Linked DNA regions of Arabidopsis thaliana. The protein of the gene in region 4 interacts with the protein of the main gene of each other region in a pairwise test. Each region holds a gene or a part of one and is shown on either strand. Other genes may lie near its edges. The genes, in order: AT5G32440, UNE12, AT5G42220 and AT5G15802.

The links.
Region 1: the proteins of AT5G15802 (region 4) and AT5G32440 interact in a two-hybrid assay, tested with the Arabidopsis thaliana proteins (one large-scale study listed by BioGRID).
Region 2: the proteins of AT5G15802 (region 4) and UNE12 interact in a two-hybrid assay, tested with the Arabidopsis thaliana proteins (one large-scale study listed by BioGRID).
Region 3: the proteins of AT5G15802 (region 4) and AT5G42220 interact in a two-hybrid assay, tested with the Arabidopsis thaliana proteins (one large-scale study listed by BioGRID).

What each region holds. Positions count from the first base shown.
Region 1 is NC_003076.8:12,075,086-12,079,106, reverse strand, and holds AT5G32440 (Ubiquitin system component Cue protein), read right to left. Parts: upstream 2,215-4,021; 5' UTR 2,094-2,214; coding exon 1,908-2,093; intron 1,636-1,907; coding exon 1,473-1,635; intron 1,362-1,472; coding exon 1,174-1,361; intron 1,074-1,173; coding exon 900-1,073; intron 798-899; coding exon 711-797; 3' UTR 504-710; downstream 1-503.
Region 2 is NC_003075.7:1,136,937-1,142,177, forward strand, and holds UNE12 (basic helix-loop-helix (bHLH) DNA-binding superfamily protein), read right to left. Parts: upstream 3,605-5,241; 5' UTR 3,371-3,604; coding exon 3,008-3,370; intron 2,604-3,007; coding exon 2,481-2,603; intron 2,317-2,480; coding exon 2,251-2,316; intron 2,165-2,250; coding exon 2,099-2,164; intron 1,425-2,098; coding exon 1,344-1,424; intron 1,266-1,343; coding exon 1,032-1,265; 3' UTR 551-1,031; downstream 1-550. UniProt on the Arabidopsis thaliana protein: Required for ovule fertilization.
Region 3 is NC_003076.8:16,870,258-16,878,259, reverse strand, and holds the start of AT5G42220 (Ubiquitin-like superfamily protein), read right to left. Parts: upstream 6,023-8,002; 5' UTR 5,766-6,022; intron 5,304-5,765; 5' UTR 5,299-5,303; coding exon 5,170-5,298; intron 5,076-5,169; coding exon 4,958-5,075; intron 4,654-4,957; coding exon 4,555-4,653; intron 4,463-4,554; coding exon 4,347-4,462; intron 4,253-4,346; coding exon 4,166-4,252; intron 3,991-4,165; coding exon 3,796-3,990; intron 3,709-3,795; coding exon 3,639-3,708; intron 3,567-3,638; coding exon 3,412-3,566; intron 3,281-3,411; coding exon 3,116-3,280; intron 3,039-3,115; coding exon 2,967-3,038; intron 2,896-2,966; coding exon 2,778-2,895; intron 2,701-2,777; coding exon 2,458-2,700; intron 2,385-2,457; coding exon 2,236-2,384; intron 2,153-2,235; coding exon 1,961-2,152; intron 1,840-1,960; coding exon 1,309-1,839; intron 1,085-1,308; coding exon 947-1,084; intron 868-946; coding exon 805-867; 3' UTR 783-804; exon of another isoform or gene 528-782; intron 159-527; and 1 more. Other genes in the region: AT5G42210 (Major facilitator superfamily protein), read right to left, coding at 7,692-7,760.
Region 4 is NC_003076.8:5,155,735-5,159,465, forward strand, and holds AT5G15802 (chaperone), read right to left. Parts: upstream 1,812-3,731; 5' UTR 1,787-1,811; coding exon 1,674-1,786; intron 1,031-1,673; coding exon 844-1,030; 3' UTR 510-843; downstream 1-509. Other genes in the region: AT5G15810 (tRNA (guanine(26)-N(2))-dimethyltransferase), read left to right, coding at 2,358-2,453, 2,746-3,027, 3,142-3,229, 3,337-3,458, 3,532-3,671.

The DNA.
Region 1 (4,021 bases), 6.9 Mb from region 4:
TTCAAACCGAGCACATTTAAAACATATGCCTATCGGTTCACCTAGAAAAACCGACCATGAACCAAAGTAACTAAACACCGGTTCGGTTCGATTTCAAAGATTTCAAGTTGGGTAAATATTGCAGGCATGGTTTGAACTGTGGGGATTTCTAAATCACCCTCTCCGTGGATAGAATAACAGACCAATATGTTCGATTAAATTTTCAAACCGAGCTCATCTAAATCATATGCCGATCGGTACACCTAGTCTAGAATAACCGACCATGAACCAAAATAATTCAATACCAATTCGGTTCGATATCAAAGTTTTGTTTCAAGAACTGTTGTGATTGTTTTCTAACAATACTCAAGTCTTTATGGGTCTGTTCGTAAGTTCTTGTGACCGCCAGACTCCAACAGAGCAAAGTGGCTATGGCCGAGACAAAAACAGTCAGCCGATGATGAACGACCGGCGTCAACATCTCTCATTGACGCTAGTATTACCAGGCTACTAGCAACATAACAAACTCTATTCGCTGTTTGTTAACTGATTGAAATAAGTCTTATATCTGTGGAATCCATCATTGAACTCGAAAGAGAATATATACAACAATAACAACAACAACAACAACAAAAGAACACAGTTTTGATTCCCCGAATATATATAAATAGTCACAAACCAACAGAGAAAAATACACTGGAAACAAAATGATACGAGGGCCTCACAAAGTATTAGAAGACGTCTGGATGGTACCGCCCCGGGATGGAACTGTTTTGCTGAGCTTGTTTCAGATGAAGCGTCAGAGCATAGTTATTCACCTGCAAGGAGCAATCAAAACAAAACTTAGAAGTTAGATCTAATCATATCGACAAAAAGACAACAAAATTGTATAAGATAAGGTGAAGACATTTAATACAGACCTCTAAAGTTCTCAACTGTTCCTGGTATTGAGTGACTAGCTGCCTCAGATGCTGCAATTCCTGACTTTGGTCTTCCGATTCTCTTTGCCGCTTCTGCTGTGTCACTACCGCTCGTTTCAGTAAACTGTTTTCCTGTACAATAGCTTCTAATTGCTGCTTCAGCATCATGTTTTCCTGAAAAATCGGATGTTCATAGATAGATATACATCTCTGGCAACAAAACTTCTTATCAACAAAGAGTGAAGAAAGAAACAAAGAAAGATAGATGAGACACCTGTTGGAGATTTTGCATTGCGTCAGTACCAGTACGTGCATTAATTGACTTCTCCAAAGCTTCCAATGCTCTTGCAGCACGGGCTTTGGCGTCTTTCATGTCAGAAGCATTCATCATTTCCCTAACAAAAAGCTCAACCCACTCTGTACCATCCAAGTTCAAGACATTTGGTTCCTCCTTGGCTGATCCTACAAATACCAAAACCCGTTTCATAATTAAAACTTTGTAGAGCGAGTCTACGACTTATGCAGAATACACTGAAACTAGTAAACTGTTTAGAGATCAGTAGGACACAAAACTACCTTGCTGTTGAGGTTCAACATTTGGTTCCTGGATTACAACAGGAGATTGGTTTGTAGCAGAATCAGAATTCTTATTGGCAGATTCTAAACGAAGCTGATTCAAACATCTAATGGCTGAATCAAGGTCATCTCCACATTCCTCGATTGCCCTCTCAAGAATCTACCACACACAAATGTCAACAACTTTATAACACCAATAAACCATCACAGACATCCATAGACATAAAGAAGCCTAATCAGAAGAAACATATGCTCCTCTAATAGGTCCAATAAATCACCAAAAACATCTATCGATATGCTCATTACTGATAAACACAATTGCATAATTTCATTTCAATCTAATCGAAAAACCTAATCAAAGAACAATCAATCAATAAAATGATCCAGAATCGAAACAGGAAAAAAAAGATGGAGATCGGAAAAATGAAGGACCTGCTTATCCATATCGGGGAAAATCGCGGCGAGGTGATCGAGAAGAAGTGAGGAAGAAGGAGGAATCGGAGGAGAAAAACGAGACGAAGAAGATGAAGAAAAGCAACGGAGTTTCTTGGAGACGGGAGGAGAAGCGGCGGCTAAGTCCTCGAACAGAGATCTCTTCCCGCAAACAATCGCAGACATGTTATCTGCTTCCCCCCTTCTTCTTCTTCCTTGAGATCTCTCAAACAAGTCTTTTATCGGATCTTAAAGATGTTCGCAACAAAATGGATCCAACATGTTTAGGAACTCTGACCCTTGAAATGGGTAATTGGTTTAAGAAGAAATTTATAGATTGTATTTTTTTCAATTCGGTAAAACTGGAGATTGATAGAGAAGTTTTTTAATTTAAAGATTTTGAAAAATGGTTAAAAAAAAGGAAAAAATTAAAAATGTCATCTAAATCATTAGTTTTTATTGGTTTAAAGCATAAGTTTTGATTTAGTGATTTCAATCCTCAATTTTATGTTGACTTTCGATTTGATCACGAATTCGTGTTGATTAAGTCAGTTAAGGCATATCGTTAAAAAGTCTCTTAATCGAAAACCCTAGATTCCCAAAATCGAAATTCTTACATTATTGTCGCTGATGCGGCTTGAATATCAAAATTCTAGAGTTGTCGGAATTAATAGCGACACCATCCTTACATTATTTTTAAGCAGCTACTGTCACCGGTTTAAAAACCATTAACGAGATTTGCGGAGAAGACTCTAGAAAAGAAAAAAATTAACCAAAAAAATATTGTTTTTAATTGAGAATTTGGGAATTTTACAATCATCCCGTTTTAATTACTCATAATTATAATATTTAGTTGTTTTCTAAAAGAGTCAAAGGGAGAGTCACACGACTCTAAAAAGAACACATCTCTAATAATTAATAAAATCAATTCAAAATAAAACAAATCATTATACTTAAATTAAAATAAATAAGTTGTTTGGTCTACGATATTTTTTTGGGTGAGTTACTCAAACAACACATAAAAGTCTGTTTATTACTGTCATGTGTTGTACGAATTGTTGATCATTAGATGATGGGTAATTTGTTTTTTTTTTGTTCAAGAAAAGATATATGTTTAAAAATGGTCAACAAAAAAAGCGTATTGTAGCAAAAGGATAGTAGAAAAATGATATTTTTGCAAATCTTCCTTAAAAGATGATGTCATGTCAGTGAGAGAAACTGTATTTCGCCCGCGAAAAAGCACACCATAACATAAGTCTATCGCTGTAGTGACGGTAGGGTTAATGAAACATGGTAAAGTTAATAAATTAATTGAGTTACGTGGTAGAGATATATTCAGTAGAGTTGTGTGATTGAGTTATTTATAGTGGTGGCAGAGTTAAGTTGATAAACAAGTTACATGACATATTAGGATTCTCCGTTTACTCACATAGCATTAGAGAATATATACTGTAACGTGGTGGCAAAGTTAAAAGATAGAGAAATGTAATTGACTTATAAAGTCGAGTAATTTGTAGTGGCAGCAGAATTACTCAGAAAAACATAGTTAATTGCCAGAAAAATGGAAATAAGTCTGTCATAGTGTGGTAGAGTTAATCTGTTGGTATAGTTAATTATAAACTACCAGAAATATCCACATTGATAGCAGACGAGGATAATCATTTTTCGTAACTGTTATGAAAGATAGTTTTTTAATTTGATTACTATATAATAGCACTAAAACAACGTTAAGATAGAAAATCATTAAGCGGGAAGCTAAAATCCCTTATTCCGCCAATAATTAGAAGAAATATTTTACTTAAGAGCAATCTATCTCAGATCTGAAAATTTAATCATCATAATTTATTCATAAAACCGAATAAGACAGAAAAAACCCAAATCTAAAGCTACGTCTCTCTCAATCCACCTTCAACCCCTCAATTTCTTCCCGTGTCCATCTCTAAATCTAAATTTTCACTCTACTTTCTTCTTCAAGTCATTTGCTCTTCCTTTGTTTTGTATTTTGCTCACCCTCTTGCCCAACCATTTTGGATTTTGAATCTCTAGAAGTAGAAGGCAAGTTGGATTCGGTCGGAGAAGGTTTGATGGTTTTGCCTCTCTTTCTCCTTTGAATC
Region 2 (5,241 bases), on a different chromosome or scaffold from region 4:
GGTTCAATAACGCAAAGGCTATAGCGATGTATGTTTGACGCCTGTACCGCATCAAATTGAGTTTGCATACTCTTTGTAGTCTTCTTGGTTTTGGAATTTAGACCCATTTTAAACAAATTGCCAAATCATCTTCGTTTATTATTATCTCACTCTAAGATTCATGTGAAATTGTAATAAAAACAAAACTTTTATCTGTTACTTCAAAAGACACAAGATTTTCCAAACTTTACTCAAAAAATAAATTTGGCAGAATGATTTAATGAATCACATGAAATAATCATATCAATAACTTTAATTCTTCGATGAGTTTTTTTTTTGGCTATATTTTTCCAAAACTAACAATATTAATAAAAGTTGTATTTTGTCTTCACTAATCAATGCAAAATGTAAACATGCAAGTTTAAATTGATACATGTTCTGTCCAAAGTGTATATATCTTAGCATTTGAGATTTGGAAGTTAAAATTGTACACGTACCACTAAAAAAAAGAAGCACAATTCATGGTACTTTCTCCTAAAATATTTGCTTTATGTTTCTAGTGTTATCAAACAAAGGATGGTTACTAGATCAAACTAATAATATTATTTGATAATTAATTATACTACTCCAAAGTCATACAAAATAAATAATAATACAAGGGGTGACAAATTACAAATACTTGTTTTTTCTTCAATTTGAACACAACTCAACAAGGTCCCACAACTTCCCACTACTACTACTACTAATAAATAACACCCTTCAAGCTCCTTCCTCAACCTCCCACTAAAGTCTTGAAAACAAAAAGTTGCTTTCATCAAAGTCCACCTAAAATAAAGGTACAATGATTACAATAATACTTGATCAATTGAGCTTTTTGACATTTTTTTTCCCTCTACTGCAAATCCTACATTGATTCCATCTACAAAGCCTTTTTCACTTTTTTACCTTTCAAGTGGGTGAGAGAGGAGAGAAGAAACCAGAGTCATTAGAGCAGAAGAAAAACCCATGTTGGACAGTTGGATTAGCTGTACAAACTCTTTATTGCAGAAATCCTACTGTGGAGGATTGTTCTCAGGCTTGACCACTGAAGATGTATCCGGAGGTTGAGAATGGTAAATTGCCATTGCCAATGAGATTGGCATCATACAAAGAGCCTTTGATTGAAGAAGCTGCATCGCGGCTCCAACGTTCTCTTCCATCAGTTTAGCCACTTGACGTTCAGTCCCATCGTTAGACCATTTCTCCCACGCTGGTTGCGGAGTCCTTCCACCCTCACCCGTTTCATCCTATTGACATTTTAAGCAAAATCTGAATCAAAACCCCATTACTAAAGTTTTTACTTTTTGTTCTTAAAAAGTTTTTACCTCAACTGATGATGAAAGAGGCATATCAGTAACAAGTGGAGCAACCGCACCGGCTCCACCAAGTCGGCTCATGCTCAAAACCTACCAAAGTTGACAAAGAGAAACAGATATCATTGAAAGTGATAAGCTTCACCCCATGAAAATTATATATATAAAAAAAGCTTTTACTTTTAGATGAGCATGGAAGATTTCACAAGAAACACATTTTCTATTTTTAAAACAAAAGATGTATTATCTTATCAGAAATCCATCATTGCATTCTGTTTCTTTAGTGTCTCCATTATCTTATAAAGTAAAGAGACTTCCTTTTTTCGCTTGCGAGAGCTTTAAGTAACCGACTGCATTTTGATATAAGAAGCATTTGATGATCTACCAGATTACTATATTATAATGTGAACATGATGATTGTAATTATTGTTGAATATGGTATTATAATCATAAACTGTGATTAGGCTCCCTATGACAAAACAAAAAGTGAAAAGAGACTAAATGCCAAAGAAAACAAAAGCATTTTGGACTTGTTTATTCTTTCCCACATTAAATAACTGATCTAATCAGATTGAAATTTGGTTGAAGGGTAGGTAATGGTGGGACCAGAATTAACACCAAAAATCCATCCAGAGAATTTGAAAGACATGATCTTTAGATCTCTAATCTTATGAACAAACAGATTAAACATATTGCATAGGGAGTAATAAGATAATTCACAAGAAAGAGAGTTCGAGTTTAAAACTGCAGAAGAGAGAAGAATATACCTTGACTTGGAGCCTGAGAAACTTTACATAATCGACAATCTCATCGATCATAGCAGCTCTATCGGTCTGCACACGAAGACGGGAGAAACAGAAAGTGTCAAACTTTCTAGAGAAATTATATACAGGTGAGGGTTAGGGTGAAAGGTACAGACCTTGTTCACAGTAGGTACAAGTTCCTGCAGCGCCCTGATCCGTTCTGCTATTCTTTCTCTACGTAGCTGTGGTAAAGTAAAACAAACTTTTAGGTAATCCCTCCATAAAATCAAGAGATCATTACACAATGTTAACATTTTTTTATATCCGAAACATATTTTCAACTACAACCAACTCGCCACCAACATAGTATATCACAGGGAAATACAAAAGAGAATCTGAAATATACCCGCTCAGCGATGCTATGTGGATCAGTAGCCTGACCACGCCTAGCTCGAACCCTGGGACGGATTGAAGTAGGCTGATGTGGGGCCGATGGAGGTGGCTGTTGCATAGGCTGCCCGTGGAAAACCTTCCAGACAACACACAGAAGAAATAAGACCAAACGAAAATAAACCATTTGCACAAGGATTTGACTCCATTAGTTGTAAGAGAATAATTTAAGTTAGACCCTTAAGATTACTCATTTGACCAACTTAGAAGGCAAGATAAGCCACGCAGCTACATGAACTAGTGAGAAGTTGCTCATAGAGTAACAAGAGCTAACCTTAGTTTACTAAACAAACCAAAATCGATTAGATTCAACAAGTCTGAGCCAAAATAAAGCACATAACGCAAATCATCAACTTTGTTAAAGTTACTTACCACAAATCAAAAACTAAAACAAAAGTTACCAAAAATGTTCTCTTCAAAACCCTCAAATTCGATTTCTTCCCATTTCTAATAATCAAACACCAAAGCAAGAACAGAACTTACAGGTTTCATAGAAGAACATCGATTATCAACAACATCATCTGAGAATCTTTTCCCACTTCCATGTCCTCCTTCAGGTCTAAGAAACCCAGGTCCTTTCCCTTGATCAAGACTTAACCCCAAAGGAAACATCTGATTGTGAAACCCAGTTGGTCCACTTCCTCCTAAGCCACCCATGTGACTTCCTTCTTCTCCGGAACCCAACTGCAGCATCATAGGCGGTGCTCCACCACCTAATCCTCCGTCAACTCCAGATAAACCGGCGGCAGAAGAGGCTGAGAAGTTAGGAAGGCCGAGGATTTGCTCGAAGAAATCATCAGAAGGAGTTTGGTCAGAAAGGTTGTCGTGAGGGTTGTTACTAGCCATGGTTTGAGCTAAAGACAGAGACTTTGACTCGAACGAGTCACTGTGAGTTACGATTAACGAGTTAGGAACCTTCAAAGAGAGATTTACATGCGAAAGCTACAGATTTTTTTAATCTATTTTGGGTTGATGAAATTTTGATGCTTTAAAACGAATGAGGACGAAGAAGACAGAGACGAGAAAGGAGCAGAAGAAAAGTGAAAACTTTATGCTCTGTTTATAAAAAAAATATCCTTTTTGGTAAAAGACCTTACTTTTTCAGATTATTTCGTTTTTGCCATTTTCTTATTTTCCTTCCAGAAACAAAATAAAAATATATAAATGGGCTGGATTTTATATCATATTTGGGTCTTCTTTCTCTTCTTCTAAATATGGGCCTTCAATTCAGTCTTTGTTTTTTTCTTTATGGGTTAAAGTCTTCTTTAGTTTTCCTTATAAATTACGTTAAACCTCTAACAATTAATTTATAGAGGTATTAATTATTAGTAAATTAATAATTAATAATTTCTTTAACATTATTTTTTGCTTATGTTTTAATGTTTACTTGATTTTTTTATTAAAATAGTTTCTTTGTTTTTGTTTATGTTTTTAACTATTATAATAGTTGTAGTCAAACATAATTTAGTAATCTTTTTAATTAATTTTGAAAATATATGATATACTTATAATTGCCACTAGATATTATATAATTTGAATTGATGTATTTGGAAATTGGAAAAATACACTGAGACCAAACATTTGCGATTTTATACGGCCGAAGCGGTCGTTTAGGTGTTACGAAAGTGGAAATGGTGCGTCGTGGAATTGCACTGAAATCATCCCCACATATCTCCTCCCGCCTCTAATAGCTTCTGGTTCTTTCCGTTCTCATATATCTAGCAGATCCACTACCTATCTACCATGACGCCAAGTAGTGACGGTACTGTCCGTCGTACTTATTGCTCTCTATTTTTAGAACATGACGAATGAATTGTAGTTATCTATTATTGTATCCCTCCTAATTCTAATTAATGTATTCAACTATTAGAATGTATTGAAAAAATCGCTTATTTTTCTGTTTGTAAGTTAAATTTTCCTATATCACTTATTGAGATGTTTACATAATTCAAAAACGTCACATAATTATCTTGCGAGATATAATCAAATTCGAGATATGCGCTAAGCAAACAAGCTCCAAATAAAGTATTTCAAATTCAAAAGAGACAATTTAGTTTCCTAGAAAATGTTTTCTCTCTTCTATCACAATTCAGGTTGATTCCCAAGCTTGTCGATATGGAAGATTCTGTTTGCTAGCTTATCAATCTCAGCGACTCCTCTCTCTAATTTGAGTCTACACCAACAAAAACTAAAGGGTTCACATCATTATGCCTAAATGGAGCTCATTTATAAAGGAACAACTTGTGCTTAAGGAGGTAATTCTCAGACCAAACACGAACATCCAACATAAGAAGTAATAAAAGCTAAGAAAAACAGTTATTTACAAAAATCAATAAATAAAACAAGTTTTGTTTTGGATGAAAAAAAAAAAAAAAAAAAAACAAGTTTTGTTTTGATAATATATTAACACAAAAAAAATCAGTTAATCAACTTAATAGTTTAATATATTAATTATTATCCCTTTAAGAATTTTTTTTTCTAATGCCCTTTTCATGATGCCCTTTTTCAACTTTACCCTTTTGTTTTATCCAATTTTATTTCTACCCTCTTTAAATTTTTAATGACCATTTTACCCTTATTTGGAAATTGTTTTAGGTTAACAAAATGAAAAATTAATATTTTTTCGCCAAAAATATTCCAAAATAAATTTCCCGCCAAAATTTGTTTTCAAACATATTTTTCCCGCCAATTTTTTTTTTTTGGCGGGAAATAGATTT
Region 3 (8,002 bases), about 12 Mb from region 4:
AACTCATCACAAAAGACAGCTTGTCTTAGGAATGTTCATGATCTCCGATGTCGCTAAGTCATGGCTCGCTGATCTTGAAAATCTCTGAACCCATGATGTTTTAGTTCAATTTTGTCGTCATCCTTAATTTTTCCGGTGGTGATCAATTGTTCACAACCCTTGAATACGTAAAACCATAAAACAAATTTTAATAATCTTTTAGAAATTAAATATAAAATAAAACAATATTATTAATTTGTCATAATCCAAAATTATAAATTTGTACAACAAAACAAACACAACAACTTTGTAATTTTAAACATATTAAAAATTCATAGTAAATTTTATAATATATAATTTTTTATAAAAATTAAATAATATATAACATCTTATTATTGGGGTTGTCGTGACAGTTCATTTTTCTGAATTATTCTACTATTTATTAGTTTACATTCCATATTTATTGTGCAATCTTTATTACCTATTTGTTAAGGAATTAAACTAAATATATAATTTGCTACAGTCACTCGTTAGTGTAGCCCTTTAGCCAAATTTTCGATCAAAACCAAAATTGTCAGTTATAAAGGGACACCTTTTTCCCAAGTAATTTGGTCAATGTCGAGAGTTATGAGTAATCTCTGGTTAAAGATGGAAATATCAAATTGAATCGGCCCTTTAGAGACCAGATAAATTACGTTTGCTTATGTTTAGCAGAGTATAGACCATCCCAAACCCTAATTCTTAATACATAAGTGAGGGATCTCAGCAAATAAACAAAGATACTTCAAAGATATGACACTTACAGAACCAATTCAACCAAATATCTTATAGACCTTGATCATCTTTTAGCCGGCCTTCGATATCACGTCTTAGCAACTCCGCATATTCCTGCAACACTCAAATACAAGTCTGATCAAGGAGTCTTTATTTTTATTAAACAAACAAACTAGTCAGTTTTGATGCTTACTTGAGAAAGAGCTTCATCACAGCAAAGCTCGTTCACTAGTTCGTCTTGGCTTATCGCAGCATTTTCGACCATTGCACGGAAGACATCCTCTGGTGGATCAGAGTGCTCAATCATTTGAGCCATGGATTGAACATTTACCTATTTGGAAAAAGTAGAAAAATAACATTCATTACACGAGATAGAACAAGAGACAATGACGTTTATTGTAATACCTAGGTAAGAATGGTGTTACTTTTTCTACAACTAAAAAAAGACAACAACAAAATCCTACTCAGTCGATAATAGTATCAGTTTTTCTTCAGCCACATTTTTTTCCTAAATCAAAAACGCAAGAAATCCAAACCTAACACTCGTAGATGTACCTGAGAAGGTTGACGATCATCAGGCTGTATTGTTGCGGGATGAGGCAATGGCCCTCCTTGGCTAAAAGCACGTGAGACTAGAGGCATCATTTGTTGGACCATTCTAGAGAAATCAAAGCCGCCGCCCTCGCCTTGAGCTCCACCTGACATCATATTTTCTATCTCTTGCCCATCCACCTGTTGCGCAATCTGTTGGACTGTGTTCATGATCTGTGGATTCTGGGTAAACTGCTGGAGCATATTTCTCAGCATATTTGGTGAATCAACACCAGCTTGTCGAGATACCCCTGCTAGCAATCCATCCAATACAGGGCTCTCCAGGACCTGAGACATTGCACTTGAGACATCTACACGATCATCTGAACCTTGCCCGCGTCTAAGACCAGTCTCATCTGAACGAGAACTACCAGAAAAGAGAGATTGCAAAAGCTGCTGACCACTGGTCCCACTGCTTTGTTGCACACCTTCAAGTGTAGCTGAAGTCCCGCTATCTTCAGTCTTACCTGATACCTTCGGCTGCTTGCTTCGTTTCTTTAACCAAAAAAAACATACTATGACTGTAAGCATTTGGAACTATGACACTTGTGGATATGCTATGCAATGAAAAACAAGCAGCAGCAACTTGACGCTTATTTTTCAACTGATTCATTACCTTACGGTCTAAACCGCCAAGCCCCAATCCAAGTGGTGTAGCTGTAGCTACCTCTGGAGTAGCCTTATTGGTTTCTTTGGCATCACCGGTAGCATCTCCAGACGGAGCTGATGATTGTCCTGTAGTACAAGAGGTATCTTTTGCTCGGGCTGGATGCTCTAAATCTCCACCAAGATCTTTTTCATTTTGACACTGGTTGAAAAAACAAAAATTAGTGGTAGGCTAACCCTGGTGAACATAAAATAAAGAATCATCTGATTGCAGAGAAGACATACCACTGAGTTGCTCCTCTCAGATGGTAAGTCATGCAGTGAGCCACTAGACGACTCAGGTGCGCAAGTAGTTGCAATGTTGGTAGGCTGCTCAGGCATAGCAGTGGCAACACCATGGCCCGTAGACATATCCCTCTCGAGAGATTCTATTCCTGATTGACACGTGAAGAAGAGCTTGAAAACATTTCGTCCACAATGTAAAACTTTAGTCAGCAGGAAACCTACCCGATGGAATCTGGTCTCTTCCTTGCATAATGTTTACCATATCTCTTATCCTTGCATTGATTTGAGCAACTGAAACATCATCACCCAAACCAGGTTGAACCCCAGCAGAAACGTTCTCACCGGTAGAGTGTGATGGAACAGCCGCAGGAACTGAACTTGTATTGCTGTCACGGTCTCCTTGTCCTCCTTCTCCATTGCTTCGCTGGTTCCCAACTGATGACAACATAGGTGAACCTGATGTGCCTGGTAATTAAGTATGAATTTTAATGGAGAAGAATTGTGCAGCTAAGTCCAATAGCAAAAAAGTGAACTTCACCCACCAGCATGTATGTGAATATTAATGTGCCTTTGGGCAGTTCCTAAACCAACAGGTCCGGTTAGTGGATTTGATGAGACAGTAGCACCAGTAAAGAGAGGGCTGATTTGGTGAGGAAAAGGCTGCAAAATACAGTAATAATTACATAAAAGTAGAAAATTAATTTAGAAAAAAGATGAGACTAGAAGCTTACCTGAACCATAATAGGATTCGGTCCTGATGGAGATATATACACAGCAGGCCCTGCATTCACATAGGATAATTCCTGTAGATCAAAGTGTTAATGAGCCGCATGTCAAGAATGAATAGGAAAATGCACGAAAGGAATGACCCAAAACGCACCGGCGACGGTGCCATTCTCAATGTCAAAATTGTGCGTCCAAGCTCCAGTAGGAGGGCCCCTAAATGTTGCATGGCAAGACCTACTTGCACGGCCTCTGTCTGGATTTGTGACCTTAGAGTAGGATCTGAAGATGAACCATCTTGCTCCAGACGTCCCGCAATATGCTACAACAATGTTTTTGCAAATTACAAACAGCACATAATTAGATGACAATGCATGGTAACCATATACATAACAGTTCTTGTAAAGAGAAAGAATGGAATCAATTAATAAGCAGTGTGAAGAAGGTGTTTACCGATAAAGAAGAGACACCGAGACCACTCAGTAAATGTTGTGCATTCCTTAGGACAACAGAGAGTGCTTCAGGTGTTGCTGCACCTCGTCTATTTCTAGGCAACTCTTCCCTTGGTCGCCCTCCGGATCCAGCAGAAGAGGTATCTGGCTGATAGCCTGGAGGAACATCCAATTAACTTATTTATGTGTTCTCTATCCAATATGACAATAAAACTTAGATCACAATACCATTTTGTGATAATGCCTGCTCCATCCGATTAATGAACTCCATTAGAGTGTCTAAGGAATCCGGAATAGGCTGCAGAATTAGAGAGTTACATTGTAAAATGACAAGATTAAAGCTCTAGTCTCAAGATCAAAATACTACTACGTGACTAAGAACTACCGTTAAGAATGAAGGGATAGGAATCGTTGTGGCTGCTGTAACAGGAATCTGAACTACACGAGGCATCGATGTTTGAAATGATACACCAGGAAATGCTTGCCTAGGTTGTGAATGACCCGTAGCTTGGCTTTGACCACCAATGCCAGGCTCTCCATCAGATGTATTTCCAGGAGGTGCATTAGACGACTGATTCGACTAGGAAAAATAAAAGCGCATGCAACATCGAGTTTAGAAACAGGCAATAGTTGATGACAATATGAAACCTTACACATCAAATAGTAACAACACCTGATTCTCAACAATCCTTAATGTAGACTAAGCACTAATATGGAATAAATTCGAAATAGAGAGTGACGAGAAAAAAACTCACGGGCATAGAGGATTGCGTGCCATTAGTACTGTGATTTGTAGGAAGCTGTCCACTAACTCCAAAAGAATTTAGAACTGCTCCAATGACCTTAGTAGTTAGCAACACAAAATTAAAAGCAGGTTAGCCTAACTAATCAAACCATCCCATAGGCCAAACAATATCACAAATCCTTGGGGATTACCCGGCTGAGGTCTGGAACAATGCCTTCTGTCTGATCTCCAACATTAAAAGACCCAAGAACTACGCTGTGGGAGACATGTCTTCCATTTCGAGATGGTCCACCATTTGTATTATTTCCTGTTGAATTAAATAACAAGTTGAAATAAGATGATGGTTGTGTTAACAGCTCTTTTAAAACTCAGAAAGGGGATAAAAAATAACTTGATTACCATCATTTGCAGTTGCCCCTTGTGAAGGTGTACCAGAGGAAGGAGCTGATTCTGCTGGCTGCCTCACAATCAAGTGTAAAGTATGCCCATTTTCCAAATCTATGACGATGTCAAGTTATCAACTATACTGAAAGTAGAAAAGCGATGGAAGGAAACGACAGACATAAACTAAAACTAAGCTTATCGAAGGTATATATATATATATAGTTCTCTTTCTGGATTACAGCTTCCTCTACGGTGTAAGACTCACAAAAGCAGAGATGCACTTGATCAATCAAAAACTAGACTTCCGACAGATTTGGTTAACATGCATTTTATACACAGGGCACATGGCATAATGCAACAAACAGCTACACTATAACATAAAATCAACAAGTTAACAAAGTCGCTAGCACTAGGATACGATACTCCGAGAGAGGATGATCATCTTTCAAAACCCGTCCTCGGAAAATGAGCCGCTGCTGACCAACCGGCACCCCTGTCTCACTAGCAATCTTCTCCTTGAATAGCAAAACAGTTTCCTGCAACAAGTCAAGCCCTAAGCAGTATCAGATATAAGCAAACTAAACTTAAGCAAATATGCAGGTGAAGCAGAAGAAGAAGAAGATTTCTTACATTCTTGTTCACTTGGAAAGTATACGTCCGCGAGTCTAACGTTTTGATGTTAAGCTCAAGGGTTGATTCTGGAGTTTTCTCCGACGCATTGGTGCTACTAGAGCACTGGTTAATGGGTTGATCTTCCATGAACCCTAAAGTATTAAAATTTAAAAAACATAAAGCTTGTAAATTCATCTTACAAAAGAATGATCTCATAATAAACAATATTATCTCTAGGGTACTCAAATCAAAACCTTTACCACACACATTTCCAGATATTGATCATACAAAACAGAATCAACAATGAGACACAAACAAATGACATAACTAAATGCTAGTCATTGTAACAAAAGACCAAATCCTATATATATGCAAGTCATTGTAATAAAAATGCTAAAAATCAAAAACTTTCACCATCCAAAGCCACAAACAAAAGACCCAGACCCAAATAAATGCAAGTCATTGTAATATCACTGTTCAAAAATCAAAACTTTCACCGTCCAAACCCAAAAACAAATCTGCTAAGGCAAAAACAGAGCCTATAGATACGGAAAAAAAGGATCAAGATTTAAGAAAAAAACAATCAAATTCCATGAAGGCAACGAAGAACGAACCTATTTGCCGTCGTGGGGTATTGAAAAATTGAAACTTTGGCGGAACAAAAGACTCTCCGATTGAAATCTAGAGAAGTATCTCAAAGTTGAAACACGAAACCAAACCTGATGTGTTCAGAGTTAAAGGGGAAGAACAAGGGCGATTGTGTCGGGAACTCGGGATTTTGGTGAAATTGAAAAGAAAAAGAAGAATCTAGAGGAGGAAGATACAACGACGACGTTTTGAAAACCTGAATTGACGCTTCCGCGAATATAGGCCTAGTCTCCGCTCTAAATGTGGACTCTTCTATTAATAATATAAAGCTGGGCCTGGCCTTTTTAACCATATCTAAAATAAATTTTAAACATGTGCTTCTTTTTCTGTTTTATTATGTAATTTTGATTTCTAATATTTAAGTATTTAAGTTTACACATAACTGGATTAATCATGAAGATTATGGTTTACATATAACTGAAACGAATCTATGTTATTGTTGTCGTTAATAATGGTTATTATTTTATTATTTTTTGTCATCAAATTATATTAATGTTCAAATGAGTCAACTTTAGAAAAAATTGTTTACATATATGAAGCGATTCAGTACGAATTTTTCGTGCCAAAGTATTCGTTCTAACATTTGCAGTATAAGAGATTAGAGATAGAAACAAGCTTGAGATTTTTTTATTGTCACTCAGGCAAATCTTTCAAAATTGTAGAATACACCGGCCATTAGGTTAGGGAAAACACTATATTCATTAGGTTTGAACAGTCTGTGAAAAACACTACATGTTGGTTATGTGTCGAAAGATCATTTAAAGTTTAGTCTGACAATTTTGCGGCAGTGTATATGCAAACAACAACAAAAGTAGAACAATCAAAGCATATAGACATAGAGTGTCATATTGTGTGAGAAAGGATTCAAGATGATGTGGTTTCAGTTAAGCATATAGGTAGAAATTTCATGAAAGCGGATCCGTTAACTAAAGGTATTCCACCTAAAGTTTAGTCCACATTATTAGTTAAAATACAAAAACAACTAGATTTTAACCTGTGGTATACCGCGGGAACAATTTATTTTTTAAAGTTAGTATATATAAAAGTTTACAAATTGTATCTATCTATAAAATAATTTTATTTTATAGTTTACAAATGTTATTAAGTATCGTCCTGTCAAACCCGTCCTGTAAAAAAAAAACTATTTATTTTATTAATGTTGATCTTATTTATGATATGTTTATGAATCATTGTCTAAATATTTTGTAATTTTGTAGTAATTAAATGCTATCAGATTATATCTCTGCGCTTTGATGATTATAATCGAATTGTTATAGTTATGGAGAAAATCAATATCAAAAATGATAATTTTGTAGTAATTAAATGATATTAAATATTTTGGAAGTATTATTTTAGTAAATAATCGTGTAGTTAATGTGGAGATATTTTGGGAAGATTGTTAAATGTCAAATATTTAATTCGAATATTTTCTTTTTAATTATCAAAAACAAACATTAAAATCCAGTGGCAGCCATTGTAAATAAGTCACAACTAAAGGATTTATTTCACAAAATGGCTGCAAAAATGTATATATAGATTATAATAAAACATGTTTCAATTATGTCTATATATACAAAAATAATTATGATGTATATAAATAAATTTAATGATACAAATATTGGAGCTATTTTGTTGCTTTAGACAACTAAACTAACTTTGAACTCAAAAAAAGAAAGAAGATATCTAAATTAACTGAAACGGCCATTAAATATGGTGTTTCCCCTAGGAGTTATTGACTAACCTATACAAGCTATTGGTGTCTTGCTGACTTTAGATATCATAAACCCGTACACAATATGGGTTAAAAAAAAACATCAAGGATTCGACCAATGCAATTAAAACCTGTATATTATCTTTCACTACGAAATCCATATGGTTTTGAGGAAACTGTGTTATGGAGATCCCATAACTGATATTGGTGTTGCTGCTCTGATCATCAGGCTTTGGATGAAAGCTATAGTCTACAAAGAAAAACAAAGTAACGGACATTATATATATTATTTTTCTTAGTAATCGAACAACTCATATAACTTTGAGGAATCAATTAAAAGGTTTATATGTTTCACATACATTGTCATATAACTAAATGTTAAACCAAAAAAAAAAGAACTGAATGAGTTAGTGATTTTTCATGGGAAATTAGATAAGATTTAAAGTTTCCTTTTTGCACAACCAACAACAGCATTCGTTGTGAATTAGATAA
Region 4 (3,731 bases):
AAAATCTACCCATAAGTCACTTTTAGCAGAAATACCACCATATAGACAAGGGATTATTGTTGATTTTGCCATTTTTTATAGAGATCTTTTGAAATTGCCATTTTTACTAAAATCTTACGGATAAGCCATTTTCTAAGATTTAAAAATATATGGATTTCGGACTTTTTTTGGTAAAAATACGTAGTTTACACAAAATACTAAACCCTAAGAACAACCACAACCGAGTAAACCCAAACATAATGAATAAAACGTATATTCATTCACGTAACCTGAAAAATGGCAAAATTCACAAACTATTAAAAAAAGGGCAAAATCCACAAATGCCATCCCAAAAAATGGCATTTTCATAATTGATTCTATAGACAATTATTTTTCTGCCTATTAACTTTATTTGTTTTGATAAAGATAACCAACCTACTATCAGTTATGGTTGATTTTTTTTATTCATATTAAAAAAAACAAGAAAACGAAGTAACTTTATTTAAGTTAAACAAAAATTCAAGAAAAATGTGTGTTTGCACCAATTATGGTACATCAACTGCCAAAAACCCACCTATAGTTGCTCACTGAAAGAAAGGTCCAGCAGAGCATTTGGTTACTAGATGAATTTCTCCGGTTTAATGACGATAAAACCCGGTTAAAGTTAACCTACTCAGTAATTCATAAGCATCCGGTACATCTAAGCAAAGTGCCTTATTTGCAGTAACAGATCAAGAATTGGAATAAGAGACTTCTCGAATAAACAAGACATTCTTCAACTTTAACATTACCATTACCAATGGACCGATTACACTTATCATAGTGTCAAGAAGATGAAACAACTATAAAATACCGAGAAAATGGTCAAGATTTTGAGCATTCAGGGCAAGGGAAACAACCTTTGGCTTGGCAATTATCGCAAGCCACTGATCTTGTGTTTGATGAGTCACTGAAACCAAAGAATCCTCCTGATTTGATTGTTCCTGTTCCTTTGCAACGGCCACAAGCTACATTCTTAAGATCTCCACATTTTCGACACATGCCAAGAGATCTGCAAAACTTGTGTTTAGAAACATATGATGATGGCAAGTTATAGATTCAAAAACAAGTCTAATGTCATTCAGCCATGGACATACAACACTCTAGAACATTTCTTATAGCCGTCAGCAACCACAATGAACAGTCTTAAGATCATGTCTCATTACAAAGGTCAGATTTTCAGAATCCATAATCAAGATCAAGAATGATTCAATACCTGAATATTTCAAAAATCAAAAGATCTTTCAGTGAGGAATACAGAATTTCAGGAAAACCATTACTTTCACATGGTGTGAACTCAGAAAAAAAATGTAATCCATTGGAGATTGAAACTAAAAACATAACTCAACAATGGATTTTTTTTTTCATTCAGAATCTATCCTTCCAAACTACAGATCACAAAGAAACTCTTAAGGATGAAAAAATAGTTTAAATCAAACCCTCTTGGATTAAAATCAAGCAGCTCATTGCAATTCTAAGCAGCTACTACAAGCATCATCATTATCACATAACAACAAAACAAATCCACACGGTTTAAATCCAAAACAGGATATAACACGACATGGGTTCCACTCAGAACATGAAAGATTGAGCAAAAAGTTGGATTTTGTGGAATTTCAGAAATCTTATGTAATGAACTTGAAAAGCTTTATTACCTTCTCTGAGAAGCAGCGATAAAAGCATCAACTTTAGGAGCAGCGATGGTGGCACCAAGAAGCAGAGCCCCAACTGCCAAACCCGCAACTTCGTTTGACGTTAAACTCTGCATCGTCGTCTTCCTTTTTCTCTTCTCTTCTCTCGTTCCTTCTTCTTAACTTGATGATAATGATATCCTGAATTTATTTCAAACGGGTAAATATTTTACATATCTAGAGCTTATCAGATATGGCCTATTAGCTCAGTTGGTTAGAGCGTCGTGCTAATAACGCGAAGGTCACAGGTTCGATCCCTGTATAGGCCACTTTTTTGTTTTTCCTTCTTTTAATAATTTCAATTTTGACCCCGTATCTTTTGATTTCACCAATTTGTATCCCAAAGTTAAATAAATGAATTTCTCCAAACGATTTGTAGGGTTTAAACAACTTAGTATACTCCGTTACTCGCTTCCAAACCCGTACGGCCTCTTTAGAGTTTCACCTTTGTGTCTCTCTGAAACTGCAACAAAGCTTGAAGCGATAGGGTTTATTCAAGCTTCACTCAAACCAGTCGCTAAATTTCGACATCTTTATTCACATATCTATAGATTCAAGCTTTGTGATTTGCCATTCGGGTTTCAGATTCGTGTTGGTAATTCAATTTCTGAATCCTCTGCTCCTAAAGAGAAGAATCTGAGATCAGCAATGGAAACGGATCTCAATGATTATACTGTCATTAAGGAAGGAGAAGCTGAGGTTCTTATGCACAAGAAGAACCAAGTCTTCTTCAACAAAGCTCAGGTTTGCTATATGATTTGATTTTCTGCAAAGGTTCTTCCTCTTTGGTGATAATTGATTGAATTATGTCAAGGGCAATCTTAGGATTGATCAAGTATTAGTTTTGAGCATTTTATCTTGGTTTAAGATTTCAAATTTAGTGTTTTTTTCTTGTTATGGATTAGTGTCATGCTTGTGTTAGTGAGAAATTTGAAGGCAACTGATCCCAAATCCTTCTTAGCAATTATGTTCTCTTGTGTGAATCCATATGGATATAAGTGTGAGCTAAACTAATTGCGTGTTGTTTTATGGTTAGGTTAACAATAGGGACATGTCTATTGCTGTGCTAAGGGCATTTATAATCAAACGCAAGCAAGAGCATGAGGCTATGTTATCTAAAAGAGCTAGATCATCTGGGAAAGTGGTTGAGAAGGATGTCTCTGAAACTTCCAAGGAAGAAACTCCTACTGAAAACGGTGACGATAATGGAAAAACCAATGGAGAACACGAAGTAACAACTCAGGATGGACCAAAGGAAGCTGCTAAGACCGCATATGAATCTGCACGAAGGGAACTCAAACCACCAAGAGTGCTTGAGGTTTACCTATATTCTTTCCTTTATGACTGTAATAGCTGTACTTTTGTTTTCTTATTTCGTTGCTTATTATGCGTTTCTAGTTGATAACTTTTTCTTGTGTTATTTATTTTATAGGCCCTGTCAGCTTCAGGGCTACGGGCTTTGAGGTATGCTCGTGAAGTTGAAGGAATTGGTCAAGTTGTGGCTTTAGATAATGACCCAGGTATTTTTTCCTTCTCAACGTTTGTGCTTGTGAAGAGGTTCGAGACTCTACTTTTCTTTCGTCCTAACATCCCAGAATAATATAGTATTTCCATTTTCCTATTAAAGCATCGGTTGAAGCCTGCCAGAGAAACATTAAGTTCAATGGTTTGATGTCTACTTCAAAGGTGGAGTCACATCTTACTGATGCTCGTGTTCACATGCTCAGCCACCCAAAAGATTTTGATGTGGTAAGTATCCAATTTTTGCAAAATCTTTTCATCTTATTGATCACATAACTAACTTGGTTCAGTGATGTCTTAGGTTGATCTTGACCCATATGGTGCGCCGTCTATTTTCCTTGACTCAGCTGTTCAATCAGTTGCCGATGGTGGTTTGCTGATGTGTACAGCAACTGACATGGCAGTGTTATGTGGAGCTAACGGCGAGGTCTGCTATTCCAAGTGAGATTTTACTCCTTCATTACCTTATTCTGAAAACAAATATCTTTGATTTTGTCTGAA